Linked DNA regions of Caenorhabditis elegans. The protein of the gene in region 4 purifies or fractionates together with the protein of the main gene of each other region. This does not show direct contact. Each region holds a gene or a part of one and is shown on either strand. Other genes may lie near its edges. The genes, in order: Y106G6E.4, map-1, F36G3.2 and F58H1.8.

Region 1 (3,358 bases), on a different chromosome or scaffold from region 4:
TGACCACTCGTCAAGCAAGGGAGAAAAAGCAAAGGTATGTTGATCATGATAACCTTTTTGAAATAATAATATTTGCAGTGCGGATCGGGAGACCAAAATTGACCTCGTGTTCAACAAGTTTGAGAGTGAACAATGATTACTATGTATTGACTTTAAATGAATATTTTTGTTCAGTTTCGTGTAGTTGCTCTTCATGTAAATTACAGGGCTTCTATCATATATCGATTTAACTACATCAGTCCTCATCTCGGTCTATCTGAACTGTGTGATATTAGTGAAACCATTGAATGTATCTAATTTTTGCTAATTAATGTCTTCAGGCCTTTGAATCCTTTCGTTTTGTGTGAGCAAGTTTTCAGATATATTTACAGGCTTTTGGGACAATGCTATGCAGTTCTATGGGGCATTTCAGAACATCTCCACAAGTTTTCGTGGTGGGACCTAAAATTGAAACACCTCGGAAGGCTAGAATGCTTCTAACTAATGACTGAATAATCTATGAAAAAATTATATATAACTGTAGTTCAAAAAAGTTTATTCAGTTAACAAATGCAAGAAATTGTATCACAAAACCATTTGAGGAATGTCTGAAAAATCACTTATAAATTGGCGAGAGAAATTTAAAAAAAAATCTCAATATCACAATCGGGAATATTATTTAGAGTGTGAAGCCTTAAATAGTATCAAAAATAATAGTTTCTCCTTCATAGATAACCTCATCAAGTTCAACATCAGTTTCAGAAATAGGAATTGTACCAATAATTTGCTCACGAAGAGCCAATCCTATCTTTTTTGGGGAGTTTTCTGGAAAATGTTTGTGATGAGTGGAGAAGAAGCGATCGTAATATCCTTTTCCATGACCACAACGAAGTCCATATGGTGAGAAGGCAACGCCGGGTGCAAGGATCAAATCCAGTGGTCCTGTAAGTACTTATAAATTGGAGTTATATTATTAAAAAGCAGTCACACCTGTTTCATGATAGCTTTGCCATTTCCATTTCGGTTCTGGCTGTCTGATTCCCCAAAGTGTTGAAGGAAGATTGTCAAAAGCAGTTTGATCCGGAACTCGAACCATATCCATTGCAGTTGAGCCCTTCGTGAACTGAAATTTTTACATTTGTGACTTCAATAAATTATACTTGCTGTACGTGCCTGTCTCCCTGGATTCATATATAATATCTGCCTAGGTACTAATTGCCTGCCTACTACAAACGATTACAGCCTTCATGTCTAGGGGCCTACTTTACGCCTACCTCGCAAGTGCCTTAGTTCTGCCTGGCTACGTGCCTGCCTGCCTTTATTCATAGCTCATATCTGCCTACTTCTTGTCGGCCTACCTGCTTTATTTCTGCCTGCCTATGTGCCTACCTACATGCCTACATCTTAACATCTATTGCGCATCTGTTTCAAAATAAATTTTACCTGTGGAATGAAAACTTCTTTTCCCATTTCCAACGCTTTTTGAATAATCGAATCAGTTTGTATTTCTCCCGATGTACTAACATAAACTGACAATCTCTTGCTCTCTTGAAACCATTTCGATTCAATTATTTTTTCAAAAACCGCCTCTGTTTGACGTTGAGTTTCTTCTTTCGAAATTTTTCCGAGCAATGTCTTCATAAACTGCCTGAGCTCTGATTTTACCTCTTTTATAGCACTCATCTGAAAATGTTGGTCAAAAATTTGTTTTCAAGAGATTCAGAAAACTGTTAGTGGCCTGTAGTTAATGGCTCGTTATTCAAATTAAGTTAAATACACAGTAATAGGCATAAATTACAAAATTTATTATGCACATGGAAATGTTTTGCCTTTCAATATGGTAAAATGCACGTAAGAATGATAAAGCTTGAATATGATTAAAACTTTGAAATAAAGCTTTTGATATCGTCAGGGATCGGTGGAATTTCTGGTTTCTCCTCGGGGTTCGTGAGTTTCACATTGAGAAGGCGAACTCGTAGCTCCATTTTCAGCATTCGTTCAACCATTGCATCGGTTTCACTGAAAATATTTCAATTGGTATTTTCGGGGCTTCCTATTCTTCAGGTTACTGTAACTACAGTAACCAATGTCTAGATACCTTTTAACTGCCTTGCTCCCAATCAATTCAGCAAGACCTTCAAGCCATATAACAGATTGAGTTTCATCGGATGTCAATGCCATTAAAACTTCGCCTTCTTTCATATCATTTGTTGTTTTTAATTGTACACGAATCCCTCTTAACATTTGTGTAGATGGAGAAGAAGTGAATCGAGATGAGCTTGCTTTTCTATCAATCTCATCATTATTTGTTACATCAGCAATATCTTTGATCCAAACTGAAAATAAATTAATTTATTATTTGAGAACTAATTCAATATTCCCCCAACCTTGCCGAATATCATCTCTCTGCACACCTTCCACATAGTTCTCACCATCACATCCAGTTATAGTGAGCATTTTCTCCGATGCATCGAGCTTCCAATGCCAGAAGGCGAGCTTTGCGAGGGATTTACTTTTCTGTGGTTTTCGAAAAACGGCGCCTAACTTCAAATAGTTTAGATGATTTATTCGAACCAATTCCTCCATTTTTGGCCGCAATTTCGATTTTAGTTGTCTGAAAATATGTATACGAATAAGTTATTGGAATTTTCAGACTTACATCACAGCTTCACTATGTAATTGAATATTTTCCTTTCCCAATTGTTCCTCTCTCCAAATTTCTTGCATTGCCCTATACGAAAAAGTCTCCAAATCCGCAGATAGTTCTTCTACATCTTGTATTTCCCGTCTTTTCAGCACATGCCGTAACTGTTCCAGTACAACACACGCAACTTTCTCCATTTCACCTCCTTTTGCCTGCATCTCACGCCATGTTCGATGGAAAAGGTGTACAATACATGCGAATACAGCTGGAAATGGAGTCTCCGTGGAAAAGAGAACTACAATCAAACGATCCAACTCATCACGACCAGGTATTACTCTGAACAATTCTGCGGCAATGTCACAGCACCTGAATTTAAAAAATCATCAGAACATCTTTACGTTTGCAAAAAAACCTCATCCACATTGGAATCAGTTGCCATTTTCCTCCTTCAATCCTCATTGTATTCTCCGAAATTAGCATTCTCAGATCTTGCGGACTTTTTTCTGCAAATTGAACCATCGAAATTGCAGCCAACCGTCCACATCGGTGTTCCCCAATTTGTGATTTCCACATTTCTCTGATCTCCTCGGAAACATCCTCACTGGATTCAATATCAAGAATTTTCTGAACTTCAGCATCAGTAGGAGGTGAAGTTTCATATGCACTAATCAGACTCCTTTGAACCTCAACAAGTTGTTCAATAGCATTCAGATTTCGAACACCACCACCACCACG
Region 2 (5,673 bases), on a different chromosome or scaffold from region 4:
AAATGACATGCTGAAGAAGGGTAACGAGAATTTTTTTCCCAAAAAAAACGGTCTACAAGGTATGACTGAAAATTCACTTTTTCTGCTTGAACTTGGCGGTTTCGGATTTTTTTACAGTTCTGTTTTCAAATTCTGAAAGAACATAAAATTTGCTACAAAATGGCTACGGGAATTTTTTAAAAAAGTTAGATTGAAGCCAGAAATTAATTTTCAAAGTTTGAAAAATCTATTAATTTTGCATATAAATTGTGGTCTAGAAGGTATGACCGAAAATTCACTATTTCTGCTTGAACGTGGCGGTTTTGAAATTTTTTTAAATTCTGTCTTCTGTTGTTATATTTGGTCATTAATAAGAATTAGTGAGAATTTACAGAATTTACAGAGAATTGACAATTGAATCCACATCAATGTTAACAAGGCGCGAGAAAAACCACCGTATTCTTCAAAGGCGCACACCTATTCGCATTTGTCGTATCGAGACCGGAAACAGTATTTTTTGCACAAAAATCGCAACATTTTGCGTCTGGGTAATAAAATCAAGGAAAAACGATTTATTCAAGTAAAAAAGGCCAAACAATTCAAAAAAAAAAAGTATAAAAAATTAATAAATCAATAACTCTGCTCAATCTGATCCATAAACCACGGGCGGTTTCCGTCTCTCTTTGTCAGAATCTCGCAGCCAGTGTCAGTAACCAAAAGTGTCTGTTCGAATTGGGCAGAGCGGCGGCCATCTCTCTGAAAATTTAACAAATTTTTTGAATGTCCGCCAAATCAGCAGGCACATACGGTAACGGCGGTCCAATCGTCAGGCCATTTGTCGTCGTGGTAGGTGCCGGCGTTGATCATCGGCTCGATGGTGAACGAGTTGCCTGCCTTCATAACGCCCGTCGCGTTGTTTTCTGGAAAAAAAGCGGGGAATTTTTTGATATTTTCGGGTTTCACTACGAAAATACTGTAGTTCAAAGGTCCGCAGGGATAAAAACCCTTTTTTCTTACATTTCTGGATCTAAAAAGTAGTCAATGTTGAAGAGAGTTTTAATTTTAAAAAAACGTTTTCAGTATAAATTTGAATTGATTTTTAGCAAAAATTTTAAATTACAAAAAAAATTATTTTTCTAATAAACTCGTTTTTTTTTTAAATTTTCAAGAATTTCCGTACTTTTTAAATTTAAAATCTGTAAAAAAAAATTTGTTTTTTCAAGTTTTTTTCTTAACATCAAATTTTTAATTATTTTAAGTTTTTAAATTTAAATTTCTTTTCATATTTTTACAGTCATTTTTTTAAAGATTTCCGGAAAAAATATAAATTTTTCCAATTTTTTTACAGAAATTGATAAAACTTTTTACTTCACTTTTTTCAAAAGTTTTTATTGGAAAAAAATTAGGTTTTTTTTAAAATTGAATTTAAACTTTTTTTCCAAAAAAAAAAAATTTTGGAAACATTTTCTTTTGTTGAATTCAAATATTTATTTTTAAATTTTTTGAAAAAAAATCTAATGTAAACAAAATTGTTTTCAAAAATTACCTATTTTTTACAATTTTTTTGATTTCTTTTCCAAAATGTATTTTTTTTATTGTTATTGGAAAAAAAGTGTTTTTTGTTGAATTTTAAATTTTAAATTTAAAAAAAAACATTTAAATTTTTTTTCAAAAATTATTGATTTTTTACAAGTTTTTTGAATATTTTTTCTCAAACTTTTTTAAAAAATTTGATTGGAAAAATAAAATACTTTTTAAAAAGGTTTTTTGTCGATGATTTTTTAGAAAAATTTCAAATAATTTTTTTTTTCAAAATTATCGATTTTTTCGATTTAAATATTTTCCATACTCACTAGCATAATGCGGAACATTTGGTGCAGTATGGAATAAGCGATGAATACCATGTCCACAGTAACCCTTAACAACTGAGAATCCATTTGCATTGGCGTGTTTTTGAATCACATTTCCAATTTCACGGAATTTGACGCCTGGCTTCACTGAAAAAAATCAATAAAAATTTGAAAATCAAAGTGCAAGCGCGCTCCAATGCCAAAACCGTTATTTTTCAGAAATAGTCGTAAATCCGGCCGTTTTCAGACAGTTTTCATACGTTTTGTAAATTTTTTTTGTTGTTTTTATCGATTTTTAATATGAAAATGATGATAATTTTTAAAAACAGTGCGATTTCAGTGAAATTTTTAAAAATTCCCGCGAAAAAAAATATTCAAAATTACGAAAAATTGATTGAAAACGGTCGAATTTTCGAATTTTACCGCCAAAAACTTTAAAAAGGTCAAATTTAGCGTTAGAGCGCGATTGCATATGTAGCTTTTTTTGCGATACCAATAGCGATAGCCTGTTGAAGACACTCAAATGTAACTTTGACAAGTTTCCTGGACTCCTCGTCGACTTTATCACCGACCAAGAAGGTTTCGTTGAGATCTCCATGGAAACCGCGGTGATAGACGGTGACGTCGACTGAAAATTGAAAAAAATGAACAAGAAATTGTGTTTATCGATTTTTTCATTAAAATCAAACTTTTTGAATTTTTGAAAAAAAAATGACTGCGAAATTCGAATTTTCCGCAATTCTGGCTCAAAAATTGAAGCTTTTTCCAATTGTTTAAAGATTTTCATAAAGATAATTGTTTTATTTATATGAAAATTTACAATTTATATTTAAAAAAAAACATTTTTTACACAAAAGTCGATTATTTTCACGTCAAAAAATTCGCCGATAAATTCCGAGAAATTTCCGAGAAAAATCGATAATTTTTTGACGATTACAATAGTTTTCAAAATAATCGAGAAATTAAAAAAAAAAAATCAAAATGCAATATTTCCTTACAATAATCGAACATTTTCCAACAAAAATCAATAATTACTAGATAAATAAAATAAATTTTCTGGAAAATCAAGTTATGTTATTTTTTAGAAATCAGTAGCTTTTTGACGAAAAAAAAAATCGTCAAAAGTCAATATCGATTTTTCTTCCAAAAATCGTTATTTTTTCAACAAAAAAAAAACGGCAAATTTTAGGAAAAATGCGTATGCCAAAATTGTCAAAATCAACATTATTCCAGGAAATCGATATTTTTTCTGCAAAATCGATAATCCTCATTACCATTGCAAAGATCTCCATTCTCCAACTTTCTCATATCCGGAATTCCATGACAAATGACCTCATTAACAGAAGTACAACAACTCTTCGGGAACTTATAATATCCCAACGGGCTCGGATAACAATCTCGTTCAATTGCCGCCTCATGCACAACTCGATCGATTTCCTCAGTAGTAACTCCAGGCCCGCAGGCCTTGGCGGCCTCATTCAGGCATTCACGGCCTAGTTTACAGGCCACTTTCAGGCCCTCCTTCTCCTCGTCGGTCAATACTTTAATCACACGTTCACTTTTCGATTGACGTTCCTCCAGAGAGACGCCTTGCGGGTGAAGGGCGTAATCCGGGCGGGGGATGTGATCGGGAACCGGGCGACGATCGGTGACTCGGCCTGGGCGAAGCGAGCCTGTGAACTGGAAAATAGGCCGATTTAGGCTGGGGAAATCTGAAATTTTCAGCGCTTACCGAGTAGCACGGCCACGGATTGTACGGCCCGTTGACGTCCGAGTGCGAGAATTTGTGAATCGGCCAGAATGCTTTGAAGCAGGACTGAAATGGTTTTTTTTTTGGAATGAAAAATTGAATATTTTGGAAGATGCAATCGAGCTCCATTGATAAAATGGGTAGTTTTTGACAAATCTCAGCTATGTATACCTGATCACAGAAATACGCGTCGGGCAGTGACATTTTAATGCATGTCGGGCATCGTAGTTTTGCCGGTTTCTGGCATCCAATGCACTTTTTGCCTTCCAAATCGTCCATTTTTCGGGCTGAAAATACTTTTTTTGTAGTGGAAATTATGAAAAAATCATGTTTTTTTTTGTTAAAAGTTGAAAATTTGAAGAAAATAGCTTTCAAAACATTGAAAATTCGAAAATAAATATGAAAAATCCACAAATTTTGAGATTTTTTTCGAAAAAAATAATTATTAGGAAATTTCGAAACTTTTTTTTAGGAAAAAATCTGTAAAAAAATAGCAAAAAATTCAGATTTTTTTCGGATTTATTGGAAAAAATTGAAAAAAAATTAGTGTTTTTTTCTAACTTTTTCTGATTATTTTAAAGAATTTTTTTCAAAAAAAATCCGAAAATTTTAATTTTTTCCCAAAAAAAAATCTGAAAAATCGGATAACTTTAATATTTTTTCCTGAAAAATCCAACAGATAAGGCCTAAAAAGCCCAGCTTAATAACAAAACAAAAACAATGGAAAAAATAATTTTAAAAATTTAATCACAGTTATACCTAATTTAATAATAAAAAAAGCATTTGTTAGGAGGAGTTTCAAGGTTCGGAGCAAAAAAAATATTTAAAAAGAGAGGGAAATCGATGAAAATGGGAGATCTTTGGGAGAAAGGATCACAGATAAACTGAAAATTTGAACAAAAAATTGGGAAAAAAACTGAAAATTGGCACTTTTCCAGAATTTTTCACATTTTCAGAGCTCAAAACTTGAAAATTGCAAATTTTTTCAAAAATTTCCAGCAAAAAATAGGTTTTCTTTTCTGTGCTTGCTCAATTTTGAAAGTTCCGAGTTTTTCAGCGATTTTTTTTTTCAAAAAAACTCCAAATTTTTTAAATTTCCAGTAATAAAATCACTAAATTGGTCAATTTTCGGCTTGAATTGCCAAATTTTCTGCCAAAAAACCAGTTTTTAAGCGGTTTTTTCTCAAAAAAGCTTCAAATTTGACAAATTTTCAGTAAAAAAAACAAGAAAAAACACAAAAAATCAATAAAAATCAATAAAAATCATGTTCCAATCTGCTGCCGTGGAGCTGTCGTCAAAAATCGCCCTCTGCTCATTTCATCCTTCTTCCCAGCGGCTCTACTGGTGCCCACCGAGTTCCTGAGCCTCACAGCCGATAGCTGCTGAGCCGCCCGAGCAATCTCCGAGTCCAGTGTGGCCCGGCCTGATGACGTCATCATCATGCTCCGGCCATAGATAATGGCTCCGGCCTGCGGGTCCTGGCGACTCACAAATCGACGAAGAAGCTCATCCGAGTCCTTGACAACTGATTTCAGCGGGTGATTTTCGGCTGAAGCTCGAGATGCATACAGTGAATTTCCTAGGATAGATTCCCGGGTGAGTGTCTCGCGGGCCCCTGCGGGGCCGTGGCCTGGGATTCCTCGACCACCAGTCTTCGTCGATGGCAGCCCGGGCATGTAGCCAAACTCCAGAGGCCGTAAAAACGAGGCGACAAGCTTCCCATCTTTGGATTTCTCCTTCCGAGCCAGAAATAGTTTGGGCTTCCTGAAAAACGTCTCCTTTTCACGGTCAAGATGAGGCTCGAGCTGCTGCTCGTCGAGCTGGGCTGCTGGCTTCGACCACGGGCGGTTTGAATCGTCGAGAAGATTGTCTAGCATCGCCTCATCGATCATTGGATGGTTGTGGAGCTGCTGCTGCTGATGCTGATGGTGGTGGGAGCTGGTGGTGGTGGTGGTGGTGGTGGATCTTCTGATCCTTCTCCGACGTTCCAGCTCTTCCAGATAGGCTTCTTGTTTTAGGAGCAGTGAGGGACGGGTGATTTTTAGATGTCCAGTATATTGATCGACCATCTCGGTGTTCAGGGCGTAGCTGGA
Region 3 (4,055 bases), on a different chromosome or scaffold from region 4:
GGAAAAATACGGCGAAGTAACTTGATATTCTCACAAGGTACCTTTTGTTTTGGTCGGACACTCTGAAAATTTAGTTGTCTTCACTTTCATTTGCACCTCGCAAGTGCAGGAAACCAAATTGGTCAAAAGTTTTTTTGCACTTTGGTCAATCACTCTACGCTATTTTCTTATCAGTTATCTCAATCTTTGCGTTAGTATAACATTTTTTATCAGTGTAGGTTCTGTCTTTTTAACATTTTTAATTTGAGTTCAGGTTCCAACAAATTTAGAATTTCATTTTTGTATATTCCTATTATTATTTTGCCAGGTCTAAGCGTTTGAAAATAGCAAGGCTTGTTATAGGAAGTGTAACGGTTTTGTTTGTTTCTTAATAGTCACAAAATAACTTTAGAGGAGAGCATTTCATAGACTTCAGAGACTTCTCAAAAAAGTCTCGAAAATTGTTATGCTTATCAAAATTTGAAAGATTAATAGCTTCATTTAGCTAAACTCACCACTTTTCAACAATTAGCATGTGTCACAGTACTCTAATCCAGAAGCTCAAAAACAGTATCAGTTGATTTTTTAAAAATTTTAATCAAGTGTATAATGTTCCTTTTTTCATTAATATGTTGAATTCTGTTTTTCTCTCTTTTTAATGTTATACAGAAAATTGGGTAAAGTGTCTTCCAGGTTCGTTCCTTGCAAAATAATTTTCCTATTCGTTCCAAACTATTTTCGAAGACATTTAACAACAGGCGAGTGTGGTTGGGTGAGCAATAAAAACGGCTGCCTATGTATTGGCGGCACTTTTCTTTTTTGCTCTTTTCCTTCCAATGACGACGAGCAGTTTGCACTTTTCACTGCGTCTCGTTCAGTTGTTCTGGCCACTCTTTTCTGATTAATCTATTTCATTTTTTCTTCAAAAAAGATATATCGGCGTGAAGCTTTTTACCAGATTGTGAAAAGTCGTGTGTTTCGCACAAAGATTGAACGCTTGAGACATGTGCGAAATTTTTGGCCAAGACTGAGTTTTAGAATACTTTGTTCTTTGCTCCAGTGGCAAACATTTACTACTTTCTTAAAATCAGACCAACTCTTTTCAAAAAAGCGTTGCATGAATTCTATTAAGCTGAAAAATCAACACATTTTAAAGGGAATTTTAAGAGAGTATTTTTAATTTGAAAGATTTCATAAAATAATTTAAAGTGATTTGAATTGTTTTGACTTGATAATGTAGTTTAACATTATTACAATTGACTTTTTAAAAAGCTAAATATATTTGATTACTGATTTTCACGTGGTGTCAGAGTGTCCCATTTCGGTTTGATCTACGTAGATCTACAAAAAATGCAGGAGAAGTGACGCATAGTTCTCAACTGATTTCGCATGGTTAAGAACGTGCTGACGTCACATTTTTTGGGCAAAGAATTCCCGCATTTTTTGTAGATCAAACTGTAATGGGACAGCCTGGCACCACGTGATTTTTTTGTTCAAGATAATTTTGTGCAGAATAGGATTTTGGGAAACATTTCTGCTGTGATTATGTTTTTGAAATAGGTTCAATTTTGCAGAATTTATAATAACTCATTCATTAAAATATCAAACAGTAAACGTGTTCATTATTTTTGAAATTTTTCCTCCACTCATCAATTTTCAAATTAAAAAACACAAGTTTTTAGATATCAAAATGAGCGAAGTATCGTACGACATTCTTGAGAATCCAGAGCCAAATAGCCATTTATGGAAACAATGGAAAAATCTTGTGGATACCGAAGGATGGACTTCTGATGACAACTCGGTGACCGCATTAACACCATCAATGCCGTCAACACGAAGTGTTTGGGCAGTCTCTAAAACTGGTGAGTATTGTTTTAAAACTAATGCCATGTACGCATGAAAATACGACGTTTTGAAAGTACATCGAATAAAATTTTAGTAATTTTTAAATGTAAAATAATAGCTGTTGCAGTTCCAGCTTTTAGAAAAATTTATACATATTGAATTCAATTTTCCGAATTGTTCTAAAACATATATTTGCAGCTGAAAATGACTTTGTTGGATGCGTTATTTGGAATGAGTATAACAAAATATGTTTCCTCGGGTTTTTCCTGTTGGCTCCTGAGTATCGTGGGAAAGGCGTAGGATCAGTTATTTGGGATATCGCAATGTCTCGAATGCCTGCCGATCACACACTGGGACTACGAGGAGGTAAAAATTTTCGATTGAAAACTATTTTTCAAACATAATCATTACAGTACCCAGCATGGTTGACAAGTACAGAAAGAAAGCAACGCCGTTTGTCGGAGCAACGCTCGAAAACTACAAAATGAAGGTGGCCGAATATCACGCGTCTATGGAAAAAATGACAGGAGACGTAAGATTCCTCTTTAAAGCATAAAAGTGACTTTGGATAGCGTAGTTTTTTTAGGTTGCTCAATTTAAGTTCAATACTACCCAAGTTTACCGACAAAGAAAGAACTTTTGTGTAGAACCTTAATTAAGTGCGCATTATTATAATCAAAATCACATTACTATACGTAAAATTTATATCGATTTTTAAAAGATTATAGTGAAATAAGAAAATAAGACTGCCAAAATGTGTTGCATTTTGTCAAAAACTATGTACAATTGTTATCAGAGTTAGGTCCAACATAACACATTTTCAGTATGTTCTCAAATTTTAATATTAATCTGATGATTTGTTCAGAACTTCAAACTCGTTAGTCATTTGACGCCTGTCGAATTTGACCAACTGGTGCGATACGATAGTGATGTCAACGGTAGAAACCGCCGAGAATTCCTGGAACTCTATTATAAGCTGGACTGTGTGCTCGGAGTCGTGCTCTTTGACCAGCATCATAAAATCATTGCTCATATTTCTGCTGTCCGCACTTCGCACAAAGGTTGTCCCAAATTGTAATTTTCGGGAAAAAACATATTCATCTTTGTTTTTTCAGAAGACAACGTATTCAAGATTGCGCCATTGTATGCTGATTCTCCAAGCATTGCCATGTCAGCACTTCGCGTGTTCTCTGGAGTGATGTTCGAATTGCATCCGGAAGCGGACGTCTTGTTCCACTTACTCGATGTTGGAAGTGGAGCATTCCTTCAATCATTTTTCCAAAGTCTTGAGATCATTCCTGCAGTTAGTGGAGTTACTCTTTTCAGTAACGAATGGCCGAACAAGGGCGATTTGTCAAAGGTTTTTATTGCGCATAACAATTCTTGTCATTTTGATTATTAATGACTGTTTCTGTTTTGAATTTCATGTTGTAGTAATATTTATTGGTTCTATGCAATTAATTTTCTGAAAACTTCTTTTAATGTAATAGCTAAAAGGTTGTGTTGAATGTTAACTTTTCATCTAAATTATGCTATTAATGTCAAATGTTTTAAAATTTTAAATTGTTCCATTTTTGCTTCTTTTATCATTTTAATGGTTAGTGTATTCTGGTTAGTGTTTATTATTATCATTATACAGCACAATGCTGAACCGAATTGGCTTGCTTGAGACATTTTTATTTTCTCAATAAATCAGAAGAACAAACATTTTTTGCCGCCGCCTCTGCCCGCAACCATATGGTTTGTTAAAGCAGTTTGGGTGGGAAAAATGATCACTTGGAAGTGGGAACAATACGTCATTTTGTTGAAAAAAAACCGCATTTGTTAGTTCTGTGGTTCTATTGTAGATTTTTTTATTATAGTCTGAAAAAACAGAATCGAAGTATTTTCAATAAGCTCTGCGTGCAAACAAGTAGCATTAAATTTTACTTCTTATTTTTGTTTACACTGGAAAAATAACGAACAGATTCTGTTTGTTTTGCGTTTCATAAAACTGACTCACTGAAAATTATTACGGTTTTTTAAAGTTTTATAAGTTTTTTTGACATAACGTTATTAGAACATTTGTTCGGTTTTAAAATGATTATCTCGACAGCGTAAATTTATAAAAATTTTCAAAATTTTGCTTGAAAATAACATTTGAGAATTAAACAACTGATGTTTTTCATTTTGATTAATAAAACAAATACGTCATTCTTCTTAATGAAGGAATAGTTGACCTTGCCCAGATA
Region 4 (3,508 bases):
TTTTCAGCTTGAAACAGAATTAAAATGTTCCAAAGGAAACCGAAATCTTCGAATACCATCTGCAACACAATGTGAATGTTTTGATTGTCTTGTTCGATAGTTGCAGTTTCCATCTCTTTCATTTCTCATTCTTGAATCTCTTGAGTTTTACCTGCATAATAGATTTAATTTATTTTCTCTCCTCCAGTGCCACATTCATCCACATTTCCATAAAATCTCGTTCCCTTAATTATTTCTATAATAATCTCGTTGATACGGGCATCTAAAAATGCAAAAAATCAAAGCGAAAGAAGGATGACTGACATAAATTGTCTCAAATGAAACCGAACAAAAACCAAAATTACCAAGTTGATCTCTCTGCGTCTCACATTCTCTCATTCTATTTTCTTGTCTGCCAAACAAAAAACAAAATGTTCTTTATTGAAATAAACAATTGACAATGTTGATTGAATGATACCTCTAGCCAACAGAAAATGAGTTTGAATTGTGCATTATTCATGTACTGTACCTTTGTACTTTGTCCTTTTTTTGGAATATTTTTAATTAAATGAAAAAGAACCTAATAAACTTTTATTTTTCCTATAACCTTGGAGGAACACTCGTTTCGTTTAGCATATAAGATCTATAATTGTTTGCTCTAAACATATCATCTATGATCATGGATTTTCGACTTCCAATCTGAATATTTCCCAACAAGAAATGCATTGCAACTCGGACACCGTCAGTTTGATCATCTGCGAAGTAGAAACCAGTTGTTTCATCTCGTCGGAACAGCTCCTGGAATTTTTTAATAATGTTTAATCTTGTTCAAGATAGTTTTTTTTTTTAAGAACGAAAGTTAATTTTTAAAAACTCACTTTGTGCTGCTTAACAATGAATTTCGACCGTATAGCCATAAACTGCTCCGCGTCATTTTTATTCTGGTATATCCTAATTAGTCGTAACTGCTGAACACGGATTAAACAGGCAAATACAACTGCTAATGCAACTGATGGAAGTGCAATGAGAACTCCAAGTTCTTCTGAATCCGTCACTAGCTTCTGCACAAAATCGAATCGATTTCCAGGACTGTTTGAATTGACATCGAAAGCAAAAATTGAAGAGCCAACGATGAAGGATGGAACAAAAGCAGCAGTCATGTAAAATGTTCTCGATGCTCCTGAAGAATAAGAACAATCAAGAAAAAAAGTGTAATTTTTTGAATTCAGACATAAATATTATATATTTATTTGACATCTTCAGGGTTGTAAATATTTATTTTTTGCATGATTATGGCGAAAATGTTAGTTTTCTCTTTTTTCGAAAAAGAAGTGAGCAAAAATTCTGATAAACAGAAACATTCATAAATTTTTTAATTCTAATTTCAAAATTATTTTGGAAAAACATGCAATTTTGGGCAAAGTTTTAAACTTTTTCTGATAATGTTTTTAAGCAAAAAATCGTTTTTTTTTTCGTGTTAAAAAAATTGTTTCACTTTCTGTTTTCGAAAAAAAAATCCGGATTTCATCGAGAATAGGAAAATCCGAATATTTGTAGAACAGTGAGTTTTGAGAACATGCATTGTTAGTAATTAGTGAAATGTCCACTTTAGCAAAAAACTATTTTCGATAATAAATTTTTTTGAATCTGTCGAATAACCTTTTTTTTACATTTTGAAAACATAAATCTTACCAACATCTCTATAAATCAATGCCCATTCCTTTTCGTCGACGTTGTCTTTTTGGTGGGCTTTTCGAATATTGTCTCTATCGAAATTTTCTCGCTCTTCCTGCAATTTTTTTAATCTTTATTCAAAGTTTTTTTCAATATTTTCAACTTACAGCCAGTAGAAAATTTTTAATTTTATCGAAAACGCTTGAAGACGGACGAGAAGTACAAATTCCTCGATATAGATGCAATGAACTTTGATTTAAATTTTGAAAACACCGTATTATCATTCTGAATTCAAATTCGGAGTTTTGAATATTCAAAAAAGCTGTAAATATATTTATGAGACCAATGAAAACTCGAAATAAGCTAGAAAACCAATTTTTACACCGAAGGCTTTATTAAAGATCTCCAAACAATGTTTCAGGAAAGAATACAATGAATACAAAGAATTACAAAATTTCTTCCAAACTTTCAATGGTTCCGTAGGCGTTTATAGCTTCTTGTGTTAGACCCGCATTTCCAGGACGAACTACTAACTTTGTCTGTAACCCAGCTTTCTTGGCAGCAGCCGCTTCTGCTTCAACATCAGTCAGGAATAGTATTTCACTGGGAGGAATTTTAATTCGCTCGCTGATTTTCGTGTATGAATTGCTTTCTCCCTTCAGACCGATATTTGTGTCAAAGTAGCCATAGAGAATCTGAAAGAAAACATTAAAATGGATTGTGGAAAGAATATTATACTTTGGTCATATCTCCTTCAATTGAATTGGCAAACAAGAGCTTTTGAGCGTGGACCGATCCCGATGAGTAGATGTAGATCGGGATTTTTCTATTTTCAACAATTTTCAAAACTGGTAAAACGTCCGGATATACACTGAAATTGTAAAATTATACAATACGTGTTACTTATTTATTGTCGATTTTACTTACTGTCCTTTCACATCTCCGCGCTGGTAAGCCTCTTCCCAAATGAGCCCCTGGAGAGCTTTCATTGGTGTCAGCTGGAAAATATTGAATTTTAAACACCTTTTCTCAAATACTCTATAAACTTTTTTGTCTCTTTTTATCCAGTGTCTGACATTTTTTGTTACATCCTCAATGCATTCCTTTCTTGGTTCGCGGATCCGCCTGTAAAGTACATAAATTCGATAAAAACAAGCTGTGCAAATTAAATACTAACACAACTGCCACATCATTTTCCGCTTGTTGGTCTGCAATGTGCCTCAAATCTTCAACAATTATTTGAGTTGCTGGATTGTCGTAGTGCTCCTCCAAATAATTTCCAACGTTCTCGAACGCGTATGGAAAAAGCTCATCCTGTAAAAATAAAAACTTTAATTGATAATCAAATGGAAGAAATAGAATAGAAGAAAAAATAACCTTAACAAAGGAGATACTGGTTATTGTACCCTCAATATCTAGGAGCAGCGCGTTGAATTGAATAGTAGTGGTTGTCATGACTGGAATGCGGCTGGAATTTTCAAGAATTGGGCTATTTTGAACTAAATTAGTAGTGAAAGTGATGAAGAAAAATGGTTGTTTTCGTTTTTGTCATGATTTTTGAAACCAGAAAAGAGATGACATTAAAATAGATGAATATTGATTGTGAATAAAAGACAGTGCAAGGAACTTTGCAAAGATAGACGATAAACTACTGATAAGAGCGCAATATTGACGATTATTAATATTTGAAAATATGATGTAGACATTTGGCCTATTTTCTGACTAAATTAGTTATTTTTAATAGTTTCAAACCACATAAAAATGCAAAAAAAAGGAAATTAAGAGGGTTTTTGTGCAATACTTTTGTGAGAGAAAAAAATGTGTCGAGACACCTCTGTGCCGGAGAAACGGATTT

Evidence for each region.
Region 1: the proteins of F58H1.8 (region 4) and Y106G6E.4 fractionate together in Caenorhabditis elegans (co-fractionation; one large-scale study listed by BioGRID). This does not show direct contact.
Region 2: the proteins of F58H1.8 (region 4) and map-1 fractionate together in Caenorhabditis elegans (co-fractionation; one large-scale study listed by BioGRID). This does not show direct contact.
Region 3: the proteins of F58H1.8 (region 4) and F36G3.2 fractionate together in Caenorhabditis elegans (co-fractionation; one large-scale study listed by BioGRID). This does not show direct contact.

What each region holds. Positions count from the first base shown.
Region 1 is NC_003279.8:10,221,117-10,224,474, forward strand, and holds Y106G6E.4 (putative 5-formyltetrahydrofolate cyclo-ligase), read right to left. Parts: upstream 1,663-3,358; coding exon 1,423-1,662; intron 1,103-1,422; coding exon 970-1,102; intron 922-969; coding exon 674-921; 3' UTR 526-673; downstream 1-525. Other genes in the region: ced-12 (Cell death abnormality protein 12), read right to left, coding at 1,857-1,998, 2,078-2,315, 2,367-2,593, 2,639-2,989, 3,036-3,358. UniProt on the Caenorhabditis elegans protein: Contributes to tetrahydrofolate metabolism. Helps regulate carbon flow through the folate-dependent one-carbon metabolic network that supplies carbon for the biosynthesis of purines, thymidine and amino acids.
Region 2 is NC_003282.8:3,683,000-3,688,672, forward strand, and holds map-1 (Methionine aminopeptidase), read right to left. Parts: upstream 3,867-5,673; 5' UTR 3,859-3,866; coding exon 3,751-3,858; intron 3,646-3,750; coding exon 3,562-3,645; intron 3,510-3,561; coding exon 3,104-3,509; coding exon of another isoform or gene 3,054-3,103; exon of another isoform or gene 2,621-3,053; intron 2,458-2,620; coding exon 2,323-2,457; intron 1,977-2,322; coding exon 1,833-1,976; intron 900-1,832; coding exon 787-899; intron 736-786; coding exon 610-735; 3' UTR 538-609; downstream 1-537. Other genes in the region: taf-6.2 (TAF6 C-terminal HEAT repeat domain-containing protein), read right to left, coding at 4,843-5,668.
Region 3 is NC_003284.9:9,791,880-9,795,934, reverse strand, and holds F36G3.2 (GNAT family N-acetyltransferase), read left to right. Parts: upstream 1-1,661; 5' UTR 1,662-1,669; coding exon 1,670-1,841; intron 1,842-2,022; coding exon 2,023-2,190; intron 2,191-2,237; coding exon 2,238-2,356; intron 2,357-2,685; exon of another isoform or gene 2,686-2,689; coding exon 2,690-2,885; intron 2,886-2,939; coding exon 2,940-3,226; 3' UTR 3,227-3,529; downstream 3,530-4,055. UniProt on the Caenorhabditis elegans protein: To the C-terminal of C.elegans F21C10.9.
Region 4 is NC_003283.11:11,933,578-11,937,085, reverse strand, and holds F58H1.8 (uncharacterized protein), read right to left. Parts: upstream 1,939-3,508; 5' UTR 1,938-1,938; coding exon 1,821-1,937; intron 1,769-1,820; coding exon 1,672-1,768; intron 1,160-1,671; coding exon 858-1,159; intron 778-857; coding exon 580-777; 3' UTR 557-579; downstream 1-556. Other genes in the region: gpla-1 (Bursicon), read left to right, coding at 8-100; F58H1.3 (Enolase-phosphatase E1), read right to left, coding at 2,100-2,348, 2,392-2,524, 2,581-2,651, 2,700-2,778, 2,831-2,967, 3,031-3,108.